Linked DNA regions of Caenorhabditis elegans. The protein of the gene in region 2 purifies or fractionates together with the protein of the main gene of each other region. This does not show direct contact. Each region holds a gene or a part of one and is shown on either strand. Other genes may lie near its edges.

Region 1 (3,108 bases), on a different chromosome or scaffold from region 2:
TTTTTATTTTATCATTACTTCTTGTATATATTGTGTGTTTATCTAACATTATCCCGTTTATTTAAATGCTTTTTGTGAATTGATTGATCAGCCACAAAAGATTTTTTAACCATTTCAGTAATTTATCAAAAAAACAAACATGTTGGGGTCTGTTGGGTCTCAAAACAATTAAAAATTTCAAAAACCAAAAAAAAACATTCGGTTTTGCACAGAGAAATTTGTACTTTTTACTCTATAATAGTTCATGATTTCTATACTCGGAAATGTGAGTTCAGACAAGTGACCCAAATCCATTTATCAAAATTTGAACAACACTGTCACTCAATTTTGATTTTATTGTGTTTGACTTAAATTTTCTCGGAACTGTCAACATTTCGTTATCTACTTCATTAACTCAACATTTCGTCTCTTTCAATAAATATTTTTTCTTGACAATTGATACCTTTTCTCGAAAACTAGATTATTTCCCAAAAATATGAAATTCAACTTTAAATTTCAGTAATAGATGATGAAGACTCTAGTTCTTACATTACTATTAATCGGTGGAGCATTTGCATTCCGTACTCAATCGACTGGAGTCAAAGGTAGACTCATGTGCGGAAGTAAACCAGCTGCTGGTGTGAACTTGAAACTTTTTGATGAAGATAATGGTTAGTGATCCTCGATTAATTGCAAGTTTGTGACGTACCAATTGAATTTCTAGGCCCAGACCCAGACGATGTATTGGATCAAAAAACAACCGATGACGATGGAAACTTTCTGTTGTCTGGGTCTTCAATGGAGCTGACACCAATTGATCCAGAACTAAGAATTTTCCATGACTGCAATGATCAAGGAAGCGTAGGTGCCAATTTGTAATATTAATTTTTAACCTTTTTTCAGCCTTGCCAACGAGAATGGGTTATCCGGATACCAGCAAAATACATTACTAATGGGCCAGAAGTGAAGGAAATCATGGATCTAGGAGTTTTAAATTTGGAGGTTGGTGATTGATTAAAAGTACTTTTGGTATTTATGGGTTTCGTCCCCCCCCCAAAGTGATTTCCATATTTTCTAATTGAGACGTGAACTTTTTCTTCATTCTCAGGCTTAGGGAAATTATTTTCTAAGCCTAAACATGAAAACAGTATTAAAATAAACATTCACGTGTGGATTAAAATTAAAAAGGTAGTGTTAAATAATTAAAAATCATTTTGGGGGGAACGAAACCGTGTACCGTACCTTTTTATTGTTTTGTGTTTTTATCAGGTTTTATAATAAGTTTTCGAAAAATTATTCGATATATAGGTGTGCGGCTCAACCTATATGTAAATCCTTGTATAGCCTATTTTATATTTACCGTATATCCTCTATTAGTAAGGCGTGCAAAACTAATTTTCGGACACCTAATTTGATGCAAAACTAATAGAGGTGCAAAACTAATAGAGAATATACGGTAATATAAATTTGACATGCTGATTTGAACGCTGCATAGTGTCGTCCGTGGGTATTTTGCTTTAAGTTGCATTGAGTTAAAGTGAAGGTGGGTCGGCAAAAAGAACCCCCTCACAATGTTTAGCAATATTATTAAAAAACAATGTTAATAATCATATTCAGTAATTGTTTTCAAGTTCAAATGAACGCAATGATTGAAAAGCTGGCAAATTTAATTTTCTAGTCAAAAATTATCAATCATATTTTTTTCAGATCGAATTGGACAACGAAAGTAGAAGCTGTGCTCACTAACTGAATAATGTTCAACTTTAACAAATAAATATGGTTCTTAAAATTGTTGTCATCTTTAATGTTTGGTTTCTGACCAACTTTTCTATCTTTTTTTTTTAATTTTCCTTATTAAAATTTGTATAATTCAGAGATGATTTCCAAACTTTTGATCCTTGGAACATGTGTTCTATCAGTTGTCTTGGCTGCATCGGAATCGCACTCTGGACGTCAAAACTACAGAGTGGGCTTTATCAGAAATTCAAATTATTTAGACAGTTTTTTTCAGGTGAAAGGCGCGTTTAGATGTGGCAATGTTCCAGTAAAAAATGTTCAAGTAAAGCTGATAGATGACGACTTTGGATCCGACCCTGATGATGATTTGGGTAGCGGCTATACAAACGCAAACGGAGAGTTCGAATTGAGTGGATCCACCACGGAACTCACAACTATTGATCCTCACCTGAAAATCTACCACGATTGTGATGACGGAATTAATGTAAGTTTCTAATTATTCATGCAACACAAAAACTTATTTTCAGCCATGCCAAAGACGTTGGAAGTTTGAATTGCCAAACAACTACATTTATTCGGACACTGACACACCGAAGACTTTTGATATTGGAATTTGGAATTTAGAAGGAATCCTTCCTGGAGAGAGCAGAGACTGCAATCATTAATTTTTAATTTGCCTTTTAAAAACTATTTGTATAAGTTAAATCATTCTAAAAAGCTATGTTTCGATTGAATTCGCATTATCAGTTTTGAAATGAAATTTTCTATTAATAGCGTCACACTTGATTAAAAAATTTGATCACATAAAATTTTAAGTCTAAAACTATATTTTTTAAAACTTTTATTCTCAAACTATTAAAAAAACGAACAATTTCTAGGTGCCAGGTAACAGGACTCTAAACAGCTCATGTGGCAAAAACACAAGCAAAATTATGATTACAAAAAAACATGTTAAAAACTTGAGGCACTGACCAGTTGGAACAAAAATTTGAAAATTTCTGGTTCATTTCTGGAGTTTTGGAATTTGCAATTTTTAATATTTAGTTTGCGAGCCGGTCGGTGCTAATGTAATTCTGCACAACTTTACTTGTAATGAAAACATATTTTGCCTAGATGAATAGAAAAAATTAGTTGATACTTGTATCTATCCGAATTGAGCTCAGCTTCCTTTGACCCGTAGTAGACCACAATATTTTAAAAGTTATCAGATAATCGGAGAGTTTATTGTTTTTGTGTTAAGTTGTTTGTAGTATGAAATTAATAGCAATATTTCATTTATAAGAAATCATACAAAAATATCGGTATTCTGAATTTAGATGTCAATGAGATTATTGTAATAGACGATATATTGAAAACGTCTTGTTATTTTCAGAATTTTGAGAATAAAGTTAA
Region 2 (4,609 bases):
GTTTTTGGTTGATGAATGTGAAATCGTACGGATAGAGATTTTGACAATATTGACCAATCTGAAACAAAATAAAAATTAACGTTTTTCTCAAATTTCATTTGGACTTTGCTAGAAATTTTTTGAGCAGACTTTTTTTTTCGATGATTTTCAGTAAACCGAAATTGATTTTAGGGACTCGAGTTGATCTTTTGATTATTCTCATCTTGAAAGTATGTCTTCACACTTTGTTACAGTTGCACAATATTTATCAAGTGCTACATGTCATTCTTTCTTTTTGGTCCATCTCTTTCTCATTTCTTCATTTTTTTTTTCCAATTTCCTCATCGTTGCTCTTCATTTTTCCCTTCGTTTTCTCAATTTTCAAACTCACCTCCATAACACTTTTCCTTGTGCTCTTCGATGACTTGGTCGTCGTATTGCTCTCCGCAAACAAAACAAATTCGAAGTCCGTCTGAAGAAAATAAGAATGAAGGTTATTTACGAACAGGGGCACTTCTAAATTGAGGTGAGATGATGGGTGACTGCGTTGAAAAATGAGAAACGGAAATTGAAGAGAAGGGAGTGAACAGGAACAGAGAGTGTCGAGTTTTTATAGTTTAATGCTCACAAGTTTAGTTTCAAATAATTAGAAATCGAAATTTATCGTTGTTTTTATATTTTCTAACAAAAGTTTCTACACTGTAACTTGTTTTTAAAAATATATTATCGGCCATACGTTTCCTTTCGAAAAAAACGTTTGTAGTTTCAAAATCTTTTTTTTTTTTTTAATTTTTTCAATTGAACTTTCACTGTATTTTAGACTTTTAAGTCATATTGATTATACACTGGTTTCAGATTTTTTGGGTTGAATAAAAATTCTTTCACGAAATGTATAACCGAATAATTGTATTGCACGCAATAGTAATAAACTGAAAACTTACTATTTTCATGATTATATCTTGATAATGATCGTGTTCGAGGTCTCTCCGTAGTTGTCATTTCCGCGGGTCGAATTTTTTTTCGTCTACCAGACTTTGATCTACCTCTTTTTTGATTATTCTGAAATCAAAAACAAGTTCTCTGAAGGAAATTAATTAACTGAAAAACTCCACCTGCATTTTAAGCTTTTCTTGCTCTAAGATTTTGTGCATTGACTCAATACAATTCTTCTCATGAATAAGCAACGAATGTTTTGAATATAGACGTTGACAGTGTGGGCATTCTAGGAATGTAGGCATGGTTTGACCAGGCAAAAATGAAATGAAAAGTCAAAAAAGGGTGTAAAAAGAAGAGTCTAATTTTCCATGAATTTTCGAGTGAATGAGAGAAGAAAAGGATGTTCAATGGGGGAAACGCGTAAGAGAGTGTGAGGGTTAGACACAGAAGGCGTTGACTCCGTTGAGCCAAGCCACTTCAATGAAGCTGTTACTATGAGAATAGGGAAGTTAGAAAAGATTGAGAGACATAGACAAAATGTGTGATATGAGATTAGAGTGAAGAAAGAATAAGTAATTAGAATAGAAACTGCATACGTCAGATATTGGTTAAACATTGAAGTTTTCAATTGATCAACTGGAATTTAGAAATTCATATTCTCAGAAAACTTTGCAAAACATATAATTTTTAGTCATTCGTGATGATGATGTTCAAAGATCACGGTAAAAGTGCAAACATGAGTTTGGGAATCGTTTTGAAAACAAGTAAAGTCATAAAATATGACAATGTCGTATTATATTACTCGAATAGACCTTTTGAAAATATCACAAAAGATTTTTATGACTTCCAGAGTTTCTGAAAAAATGCGAAATTTAGATAACGTCTAAATTGCCAGTTTTAACTGGTTTCACTAACTTGAACACCTATTCATTAAAAAATTTTCTAAATATTCAAACCAAATATTGAGTTGCCATTTTACCAACTATCCATTTATGCAATGAGGTAATTTTGGTTAATTTCGAAAATTCTCAAAGTTTCAATTTTTGTAGTTACTTTGCAATTAATTTATTTTTATAGCTTTCCCCTTTTTCTCTGATTACTTGTCTGTATTTTGTCATCCACGACAGATCATACTGATAAGCAATCAGCCATTTCATCACTCACTTCTTTTTATTCTATACCTTTCTTATTTTCCTTTTTCATAGAAAATGCACAAGAAAATATGTATTATTGGTGCTGGAGCAGCGGGATTAGTATCTGCAAAACATGCTATTAAACAAGGTTATCAGGTTAGAACTTTTTGGAACATAATCTGTGAATTATAAATTAATTTAGGTTGATATATTTGAGCAAACTGATCAAGTTGGAGGAACATGGGTTTATTCAGAAAAGACTGGGTGTCATTCAAGTTTATATAAAGTTATGAAGTATGTGGTTTGGGATTATTTTCATTCTTGGTGATTTTCTCACTTTAGACAGACTGTTTAAAATAAACAAAAAATTTTTGTCTCAAAAATATCACAAAAACAAGAAAATTTTCCTATAGTTGATTAATTAGTAACAACCGAAAACAGAAAAAAGACAAATTCCAACAGTATATCAGTATATCAACAAAATATGATAAAAATTCTAAAAAGGGAAAAGAATATGTTAGAAGTCATGTTTATAAAATTTTAAAAATGTTTGAAAAATTCAGAACGAATCTACCAAAAGAAGCCATGTTGTTCCAGGATGAACCATTTCGAGATGAACTCCCATCTTTCATGAGCCACGAGCATGTACTTGAGTATTTGAATGAGTTTTCTAAAGATTTTCCAATTCAATTCTCATCCACCGTAAACGAAGTAAAGCGTGAAAATGATTTGTGGAAGGTGAATAATAAAACTACAATTAAATTCTTCATAGAATTATGAGTTTTCAGGTGTTAATCGAATCAAACTCCGAAACTATCACTCGTTTTTACGATGTCGTTTTCGTGTGCAATGGACATTTCTTTGAACCATTAAATCCATATCAGAACTCATATTTCAAAGGAAAACTTATTCATAGTCATGACTATAGAAGAGCAGAACATTATACTGGAAAGAATGTGGTCATTGTGGGTGCAGGACCATCTGGAATTGACATCACACTACAAATTGCTCAAACTGCAAATCATGTAAATCTCGAAAACTTTGAAAATTCTGAAGTTTTTCTAAAAATACAGACTTCAATTTTTAAACCCCATAATAACTGTTTGCAGGTAACACTAATAAGCAAAAAGGCGACATATCCGGTGCTTCCAGAATCAGTTCAACAAATGGCAACCAACGTAAAAAGCGTGGATGAACATGGCGTAGTTACTGATGAAGGAGATCATGTTCCTGCTGATGTCATAATTGTTTGCACCGGATATGTTTTCAAGGTAAAAATGTTTAAACCGGCGTAAGAAAATAGTTAACCTGGTGTGCATTATGAAAATATTTCAGATAATCATTAGAAATTTTATAAATTGTTCTCTTTTTTTCTGGGAGAACTCGTGATACTTTCAGTTTCCATTTCTGGACTCTTCACTAATTCAATTGAAATATAATGATCGTATGGTATCTCCACTTTATGAACATCTTTGCCATGTTGATTATCCAACAACACTATTCTTCATTGGTAAGTAAATTGGGAAATCGTATCTTTTCATTCATAGTTCACATGTTATTGCAGGCCTTCCTCTCGGAACAATTACCTTTCCGTTGTTCGAAGTGCAAGTTAAATACGCGCTCTCACTGATCGCCGGAAAGGGAAAACTGCCGTCGGATGATGTTGAGATTCGGAATTTTGAAGATGCACGTCTTCAAGGTCTTCTGAATCCCGCATCATTTCATGTTATAATAGAAGAACAATGGGAGTATATGAAAAAATTGGCAAAAATGGGAGGATTTGAAGAATGGAATTATATGGAAACAATTAAAAAGTTATATGGCTATATTATGACTGAGAGGAAGAAAAATGTGATTGGATACAAAATGGTTAATTTTGAATTGACAACGGATTCATCGGATTTCAAAGTTGTTGATATATAGTTAATATGCTTTGAAATTGTTGTTTAGACTTGAATTAATTTTTTATTATTTTTAAAATCAAAATTATGCAGGATTGGGAAAGTATTTGATTTCTTGAAGCTTCTCACAATCAGAGTGGACTTTAACGACGATGTAGCATGGATAATTAGATTCGCATATCCTATTTAGGTGAATTGGAGAATTCATATAGTTTTTTAAGAAACTATTTGAGGCGACGTTTTTGAGCCCATTGTTGGGAAGATAAATGAAACAGTGTTTATATTATTTTGTTTTTCGCGCTCACAGAATCTTAGATATGAAAATTTATGAGATTTTTTGTTATTTTTTAAATAGCGTTTTTTTAAAAATTTGTTCTTATAGGGCTGTTATGGGGGATGTCCCTTCTTGTTCCTCTCAACGTTCGGAAGCTGATTCCGGCGTCCCTCTAGCCGGAAACTGAAGCACCAAAACTGAATCGGAGTAATAGTAAAACCTTCAATCGATTCTCGATGTCAGAACTCATTTTCCAATAACGGTATAAAAATCAGGGGGCGCCCCATGACAACCCTAATTACGATAAACGGTAGCTGAACAATATTTCAGAAGTTTCAAATTAAATTTTAGATTTTTCTCTGATTCACGTTCAATCAAACACATGT
Region 3 (7,728 bases), on a different chromosome or scaffold from region 2:
AAAAATGAAACGTTTTTATTAGAAAACAATGTAAACGGAATGTTGTTTGCCAAGAATCGAAAACAATGATGAGATTGGATAAAAACTATAATTAATAATCAAGGAAATAAGTTAAAAGTATTTGGTTTTGTAGAAAAATTGAATATTAGCGCACTTTCTTTCTATCTTTTTGATTTTTACCAGAAGAAAAACGTGCTAAAAAGATATTTAGGGAAAAACTTGAGAATGGAAAAAATATGGATATGATAATGAGAATAATTAAAACTTAAAATACCGAAAAACTGAAATCGTCAATAAAAAATTACAGAAGCAGGCGGTATAAGGTCGTTTAGACTAGCACGAATGACAGGAAAGACACGAACGAGTGAGAGGGAGCGGAAAAAATTTTAATTTAACTAACTAACTAGGTATATAAATGAAACTCGTAGGATTTTGCTATGGAATCATTCTTACGAGAACTTCCACTTCTCTGAAAATTGAAATTTTGCACATTACTAAACGATGAGATCAAACAATACTGAAGTTAGAGCAAACACACCAAATCATACCAGTATTGTGGAAAAGACGTTAATTAACAGTGTGAATTATGACTGAAAATGCTGATTTTTTGAAGGTTAAAGTTGTTTTAGATATCTGAATTAAAAATGTTTTGAGCAACCGGGAAGAGTTAAAGGAGCACTGCAAAATGTCAAGGAAAATCTAGTTGAGCAAGAGAGCAGCACAAAAAATTGAACAATGTAAGAATTGATTATTGTTTAAAAAGAAAACGTGTTAATCGACGGACTATGGCATTACCGGATGGGGATCGGATTGTTGACGGTGATCGTTGACTAAGCCAATGAATTTCTTTTCCAGTAGCTAAAAATGTATAAGATTATATGAATAATTGTTTTTGCGGAATAAAATGATATTTGAGTATTATTTTCAATTTTTCCCAAAGGTTTCTTGAATTATGATGACTTCTACTCACTTGTCTGTTAGGAACGTCTTGAGATCCAATCTGGAGTGCATATGCAAAAGCGGATGCGTCAAACGTTTCATCCAGTGCAATTAATGCACCATGTATTCCACTATCCACTAAATTTCTTGAAAATACACCTAGCCCGATTTCTTCCACCCATCGCTGAACTCGTTCATTCGACCACACTAGCAAGTCTGCAAGGTATTACCCATAAAGGCATTGTTGTAAAGATAATATAATTATTACCTGTGTTGATATTATCACACGCCTTTCGCCGATCCGCCAACACTTTCTTATCATAGTTGACTTTCTTGAGACACATAATTCCGTATTGGAGACTTGTACGATGGAATGTGTCTACCATGCGCAGATGCGTGCGTAGGTCACGTTTTGAAAGATGTTCTAACATTCGAGCGTCAAGAAGACATTCCATAAACGCTGATCGGTATTGCGCAAGACCGAGACAAGGAAGCCAGTCGTTTCCAATATATTCATGATTCATATCTCCGAAGGCAAGAGTCAGACGAGCAGTTCGTGGGGCAGATGGTGACGTTAAAGAAACCATTTCCTGAAAAAAAGCATATACATATAATCTTGTATTGTATATAATTGTTTGCTCAATTTGAAAGTTTAACTGTCATTATTCAAAATTTCAGAAAAACATTAAGGATATTATTTTTTATGTAATGAAAAAATCAAAGGAATCTGTGAACACATTGACTGATCATTACAATTAATTTATATTGCAAATTTTTAACAAAAAATACCTGGCTACAGAGTTGCTGTATTTTTGCTGAATCTTGCCATGAGAACTTTCAAGTTGAAAGAACCTGGTTCGAACCAAGATAAATTTATTTTGGTGTTTTTTTTTCATTTTTTGCAACATACAAACAAAATGCCGTCTTACTGCCGGTTAGTAAATTTTTAAAGCCTCAGTACCTGAATTGCAAGTCGCAATTTCAACCTGTGCAATGGGTTTGAGATTCCAATCTCCTTCTGGATTTCTTGATCACTCAAAGCTGACATTATTGCACCGGATTTCACATTTGCTCTACACGCAGCTACATACCACGCTGGCATGCCAACCCACAGCTCCAGCCAGGCAACAACAGTTGGACCATTCCAAAGAGCAAACGGTGTTCGTGCTTTCATGGCTTCCTCTAATAGTTCATGCTTCTTCTTTTTCCTCCTGTCGTAATCAGCTTTTTGGTTTCCTTCTGTGCCCGACTGCTCGCCATCCGAATAATCTCCATTTCGTCTAAAAAATGATTGTATGTTTTCATAACTCAATAAAATAATCACTTGAATAAATCACTCGATGAATTTTTCTTTTTGTTGAAAAACCTTCCAAGCGTTTTCAATCCACTTGAGCTATTCGATCTTTTCTTCTTTCCGCCAAGAACGCCATCTGTCGAGGAAGCGACTGACGAAGCTGGACTCATTCGATCTCTTTCGTATTGCATCTGCAAAAGAAACGAACCGGTCATTAATCATCTTCTTCCTTCTTGAGATGACTCTTACCTCGTCAAATTGGTTGTACCCTCGTCGTGGCTCGTAGTCCAAATCTCTAACCATGCGGTCGTCAACAAACTGCGGATTGCCGTAAATATCATACCGTCGGTCACCGGATACATTTGCAGGAAGCTATAATTTAGAAAAATTCTTGAAGAACATTTAATACATATAAAAAATGTATTAAAAAAACAAACAAATGAAGACTTACAGTGTTATACTTATGTTGTCGCATATTATCTAATTGGGGACTTGCTCTTGGTGAACTTCTCGTAGATATTCCCTGATCATCATAGAATTCCCGACTTGATCGTTCTAACTGTTCAGCCACCCGTTCTGCGTGATGTTTCTCTTGTTGAATCAATCTTAAAATATACTTGTTAAAAACAATTAATAAAAAATTAATAAAGTTAAGAAAATACATTATAGAATCAGATTTTAAAACGATAATTAGCCCACCTTATTTCAGTATTTATTGCATCTAAGCGATCTTGTAGCATTGATGCCAACATCTGAGCATCTTGACCACCACCCATTCCACCTTGCATTCCTCCCTGCATTCCACTTGGCATTCCCATTCCACTGTTCATCATATCATCTTGCTGGTGTTGGACAGCAGTGTTAGGACGTGGAAGAGTCGATTGACCGACGTCGGCCAGTGATGGTGATGAGGAAAATGCTTGCTGGACGTTGGCAAGAACATGCGCTTGTTGAAGTCGATCCCATTCTTGCTCGTTGAGGGTTTGAACTTTGTTCGGATCGTCCTGAAATTTTTTTCAATGGTTGGTTTCTTTTTGTTGTAGCCAATAGCAATTTTAACATGGTGAAACAAAATGTCACAAAACCAAATCTCACCTGGAGTGCTGAAATCCTTCCTTTATTTGGTCTTCTCATTCCTACAGTTTGATACTGTTGAGCTGGTTGTTGTTTGTACATTTGGTATGCAGATTGCTGAGCAATCGAAGCTTGTGGTTGTTGCTGCACAATGTTTTGAGCATGTGTAAACGGAATTGCATGCATTCTGAAAAAATTACGGTTTCACCATGCATTATATTATGTTGTACCTTGACTGGAATTGCGCAGTTCTTGCATTGTACAATTGTTGCCTAAGAGCTTCAATCTCTTGCCGTAGAGATTCATTATCCCGCTGAAGACGATCTTTGATTCGTTCCGCTTGATCATAAATTTTCTTTGTTCCATCAAGCTGTTGTGTTAACCGATTTTTGTCATCGAGGGCTTGCATTCGTTCTTTGAGATGCAGTTGAAGGCGATCATTAGATTCCGATAAAAGCTGGAAAAATGTTTTGCTAACACTTTTGTGTATGATTTTAAAATGCTCACCTTGTCCACAGTGCTACTTAACCGTTGGCTGTGCTCTTCGTTCATGCGTTCTCTTTGCACAGCCCTTTCCAACTCTGCAGACAACTCTTGAATGTTTCGGTCCAACCTTTGGATGCGCTCTTCAGCAGAAACACTCTTCTGAAAAGGAAAACATTTTAAACAAACATAACAACAAAAACACACCTGTTCAGCTGCTGTAAGTGCTTCCATTCTTTGTTGTAATTCGGCTTCTACAGACGGAAGGGATTCAGCTTTTTTGAGACTTTGTGCAAGTTGCTTCTCTGCCAACTCCAATCTTTCTTGAAGTGAATGAACTTTTTCCTCATTCAACCTGACAGCCGCATCTTTATTGGCAAGCTGAAAAGAAAATGAGGTTTCTAATGCAATTGCGATGTCTTTTACTGACCTGATGCTCCAATTTGTCATTGAGGTCCCGGATACACGTTGACTCTCTTTGCGCGGTCAGGAAACGCGACTCAAACGTTGTTATCCGAGTTTCTTGATCGGTGCGTTGTGCATCAAGCTAAACATAGGAAAAATAAGTAAATACGCTTGAATTGAATGATTTTGAGGTAAAAGCAACAATATCGATACAAATTGATTATTTCACAAGTACCTCGCAAATTTGATTCTTCAAACGAACGATTGATTCCTGTGCAGCATGTTTTTCACGAGCATCTTCTGTCAATTGATCCTCGAGTTCGGCATTTCTAAAATTTAAAAATTTGGGGGAGTATTCATAGGCTTTTCAGCATGATTTTTTCCTATTTTTTTTACTGAATTGAGATAAGAAAACAATTTTTTAAATGTAATTTAATATATTTTTATAGTTAATTTTTACGCATTCTTCAAACATTTTTTTGAAAAAAAACCGAAAAATTTGACCACAAAAATTTATAGGTGTTTATATATTCACCATCAATTTTTGAAAAGTTATTACGATAGTACCTTGTTGTGATCTCAGTTGATTGTTTTAGTGAGTTGGCTAATTCTGTTTTCATTCTTTCTAAAGCCTCTTGCATTTCGATAAGTCTGTTTGCACTTTCACTGCTAATTGAACCATTGATGGGTGCATTTGACGCCTGAAAATTTTTGTTGATAAACACATTTTTGTGGGTATGTGATGTATTCTCGTTTTTCTGTTTTCTTTCTTATTTTTTTCAATGAATAATTACCATTGCTTCTTCCGCTTCTGCTGCGTAAGTGGCAATACGCGCTTTCAGCGACGAATTCTCATCTCCTTTTGTGCTCAGCTCTTCTTCAAGTGTCGCCACACGCTCCATTGCTACTCGAAGACGTTCACGAACCTGAATATTAAAACATTAGAAAATCTACAGAGTAAATACAAAAAATTACTTTTTCATCCAATGCCTTGTGATGCTCGAATAAACTCTTAAGAGCTTTTAGAACTTCAACTTCAGAAGATACGCCAGCGTGGTTTTGAGCTTGTCTCTGAAAAAGGAAGTTTTAATATTACAGCACATCAAATAGAATGGGGAACAATAATAAATCAAAAGACATACCTTCATGACCGTCATTCGGAGTGATCTTTCATGACGGGAAACTAAACATTCTAGGTGCTCTAGAAGAAGTCGAGTATTGTTCCGTTCTGCTTTGAGCTCGACAATCTCTTCATCTTTTTCTAATAACTGCTCTTTTAATAGGCATAATTCCCGCGTCATTGTTTGAAGTTCCTGCGGTAAATTTTGCGTATGAACTTCGAACTGTCTCTTCATCATATCTCGTTCTTTTTCAACTTCTTTCGTTCGGAGCCCTGCATTTTCCAGTTGCACCTTATAATTTTCCAACTGTTCTTGTAATTTGTCCCGGTCTTCCAACATGTTCATCATCAGCTGAAAAAGTTAAAGAACATTCAGTTTTAAGGTTTTACAATATACAGACCTGCTCAATGTTGTCTCGGTCCGATGGTTCATCAATGGGACCGCCGTTGTCCACTCCATCTTCCGAGATTGTCGGCATTATATCACAATTTATGTTTCCATTGCTGTAGCTCATATTTCTGAAACAGATTAAAATTGATAACTAAATTTCAGATTTTCAATCAAAAACAAAACATTAATAAATGTTTAGTTATATTTTGAAATCGTCTAGATATGCAGAAAAATATTTAGAAAAGCGCGAGAAAAAACGCAAGAAACAGAAGAAATTGGATACATCGCCTAGAAATAGAAATATCTGAACGTTGACTATACAATTTTCAAATTTAAAATAAAATACACTTACCAGAAAAAAATGTAAAGAAGTGAATCAGCTTGCCCTTGTTGAGTAATTTGTCATACCTTGCAGAAAGTGAATAACCTACAATAATTTTTATAGCAATAATTTTGTGAAGCTGAAAGACAAAATAATTAAAACGGTTGACACTAAACTAAGAAAGAACTACGAAAGAACTAAAAAGTAAGTTAGTTCCGTTGAAAGTGTTTTTATTTCTCTTTCCTCTCTCTTTCTCTCTACTTTTTTCGTTTCTTCCTCTTGTGTGTGTGTTATAAGTAATATGACTGCAACAACCAACTCGCCAAGCAAAAGAGTTGAGAAGATGGAAAAAGAGAGGGAAAGAAAAAGAGACAATAGACACAGGCCGATAAAGAGAAAGAGCTCCGAATTACACACAACGGTCAGTAGTGCTCGCCCTTCGTATTCTTCCCCCTTCTTTCTCCTTTTCGTCCTCTTCGTTGTGGCCGGACGTGGGCCCGAATCGATGCTAGGGCATTAGAGAATGGGTGCAAACGAAAGATGAGACAGGCCAGAGCCAGAGAACACAGGGTCACACATCTATCGGCCGTTTGGCTACGCGCGCGGGAGAAAACCCCCTTCCGTCCCCTCCCTGACTGCCTCCCGCTATTTCTTCGTCAATTGGTTCCTACATGAGAGTGCAAGATAGAATTGACAATTCGGAGAAGTACAGAAACAGAGAAAGGAGTAAAGGATAAAAGATAATAGAGAAATAGAGATGACAAGAGAATATTAGAGAGACAGATATGGCAAAATTCTGAACGTCCTGAAATAGTACGGTTGAACGTGAGAAAATGTTTCGAAACTGTATGAAACTTTCCAAATTGTATGGCTATAGAAAAAATTCCAGAACTTAGATAACTTATATTATATCCTATTGCAATGAATATGATAACAAAGATTTAACTCAATTTTCTTACAATAACTTTTTAGACACCGATGAACCTGAATTAAACTTGAACGAAGCTGGGCAAGTCTCTCGTTTAATATTAGGGCATCCGGAGAATTTCTAAACATTTTAAATATAAGTCAAGTTACTCTCACTAAACTCATAGTGATATATTAACCATTTGTAAATTGAATACGTTTTCTACTTCCAAGTATATGCAGCAATTATTTAGAACGAGTGCTCAAAATATATTCAATTGGGTTTTACAGGGAAGTTTATTTCAAATTTCAAAGATCGACTGACAATGAAGACTGACAAACAAGAACACTTCTTCGATTCCAACTTTTAGACTTTTAATGTTTTTTCCTAAAACTCCGTTTTTTTTTTTGGTTTTCTGTGATAGTAGCATAAAAAAGGGGAACAAAACACTGAAGCAGAAAAAAGTTTAACAACACGATTGTTGTATAAACTCGTCATTTCTGAGTCATTTTCTGAACGTAAAATAGTATAATAGTAAAGTAGTAAAACGTTATACAGATTGATAGAAATCGAAAAAAAAAGACGAGGGATCTAACAAGGCAAGAGTAAGAACAAGCGTTCAATTTGTGGAAGTGGCAATGAAAATAACAAGTGCCTTCACGTCCCCTATCCCTACGATTTTCCTATTTTGTTCCGTTTGGCGTCCCCCTCAAAACCCCAACATTCCTGAGATTTGCATAAAGTTTTCAAAGTCACCGAACATCAATGCTTTCATGGACGAACGAGTGCGAGC

Evidence for each region.
Region 1: the proteins of C01H6.4 (region 2) and ttr-35 fractionate together in Caenorhabditis elegans (co-fractionation; one large-scale study listed by BioGRID). This does not show direct contact.
Region 3: the proteins of C01H6.4 (region 2) and syd-2 fractionate together in Caenorhabditis elegans (co-fractionation; one large-scale study listed by BioGRID). This does not show direct contact.

The regions. Positions count from the first base shown.
Region 1 is NC_003284.9:6,510,432-6,513,539, forward strand, and holds ttr-35 (Transthyretin-like family protein), read left to right. Parts: upstream 1-1,853; 5' UTR 1,854-1,855; coding exon 1,856-1,945; intron 1,946-1,990; coding exon 1,991-2,200; intron 2,201-2,243; coding exon 2,244-2,381; 3' UTR 2,382-2,487; downstream 2,488-3,108. Other genes in the region: ttr-36 (Transthyretin-like family protein), read left to right, coding at 506-650, 704-840, 883-981, 1,687-1,725.
Region 2 is NC_003279.8:7,208,470-7,213,078, forward strand, and holds C01H6.4 (Flavin-containing monooxygenase), read left to right. Parts: upstream 1-1,801; 5' UTR 1,802-1,917; intron 1,918-2,120; 5' UTR 2,121-2,123; coding exon 2,124-2,204; intron 2,205-2,250; coding exon 2,251-2,342; intron 2,343-2,611; coding exon 2,612-2,786; intron 2,787-2,836; coding exon 2,837-3,073; intron 3,074-3,157; coding exon 3,158-3,319; intron 3,320-3,446; coding exon 3,447-3,558; intron 3,559-3,612; coding exon 3,613-3,971; 3' UTR 3,972-4,053; downstream 4,054-4,609. Other genes in the region: C01H6.3 (C2H2-type domain-containing protein), read right to left, coding at 1-58, 371-451, 921-1,038, 1,092-1,217.
Region 3 is NC_003284.9:10,549,107-10,556,834, forward strand, and holds syd-2 (Liprin-alpha), read right to left. Parts: upstream 6,134-7,728; 5' UTR 6,059-6,133; intron 5,835-6,058; 5' UTR 5,831-5,834; coding exon 5,717-5,830; intron 5,668-5,716; coding exon 5,338-5,667; intron 5,267-5,337; coding exon 5,171-5,266; intron 5,122-5,170; coding exon 4,990-5,121; intron 4,897-4,989; coding exon 4,763-4,896; intron 4,525-4,762; coding exon 4,431-4,524; intron 4,338-4,430; coding exon 4,221-4,337; intron 4,172-4,220; coding exon 3,998-4,171; intron 3,953-3,997; coding exon 3,815-3,952; intron 3,765-3,814; coding exon 3,538-3,764; intron 3,495-3,537; coding exon 3,329-3,494; intron 3,238-3,328; coding exon 2,933-3,237; intron 2,839-2,932; coding exon 2,685-2,838; intron 2,606-2,684; coding exon 2,483-2,605; intron 2,425-2,482; coding exon 2,264-2,424; intron 2,220-2,263; coding exon 1,901-2,219; intron 1,530-1,900; coding exon 1,208-1,529; intron 1,156-1,207; coding exon 971-1,155; intron 859-970; and 5 more. UniProt on the Caenorhabditis elegans protein: May play a role in regulating the structure of the neuronal region, called the active zone, from which synaptic vesicles send neurotransmitter signals across the synapse. This may be in association with the liprin-beta protein hlb-1.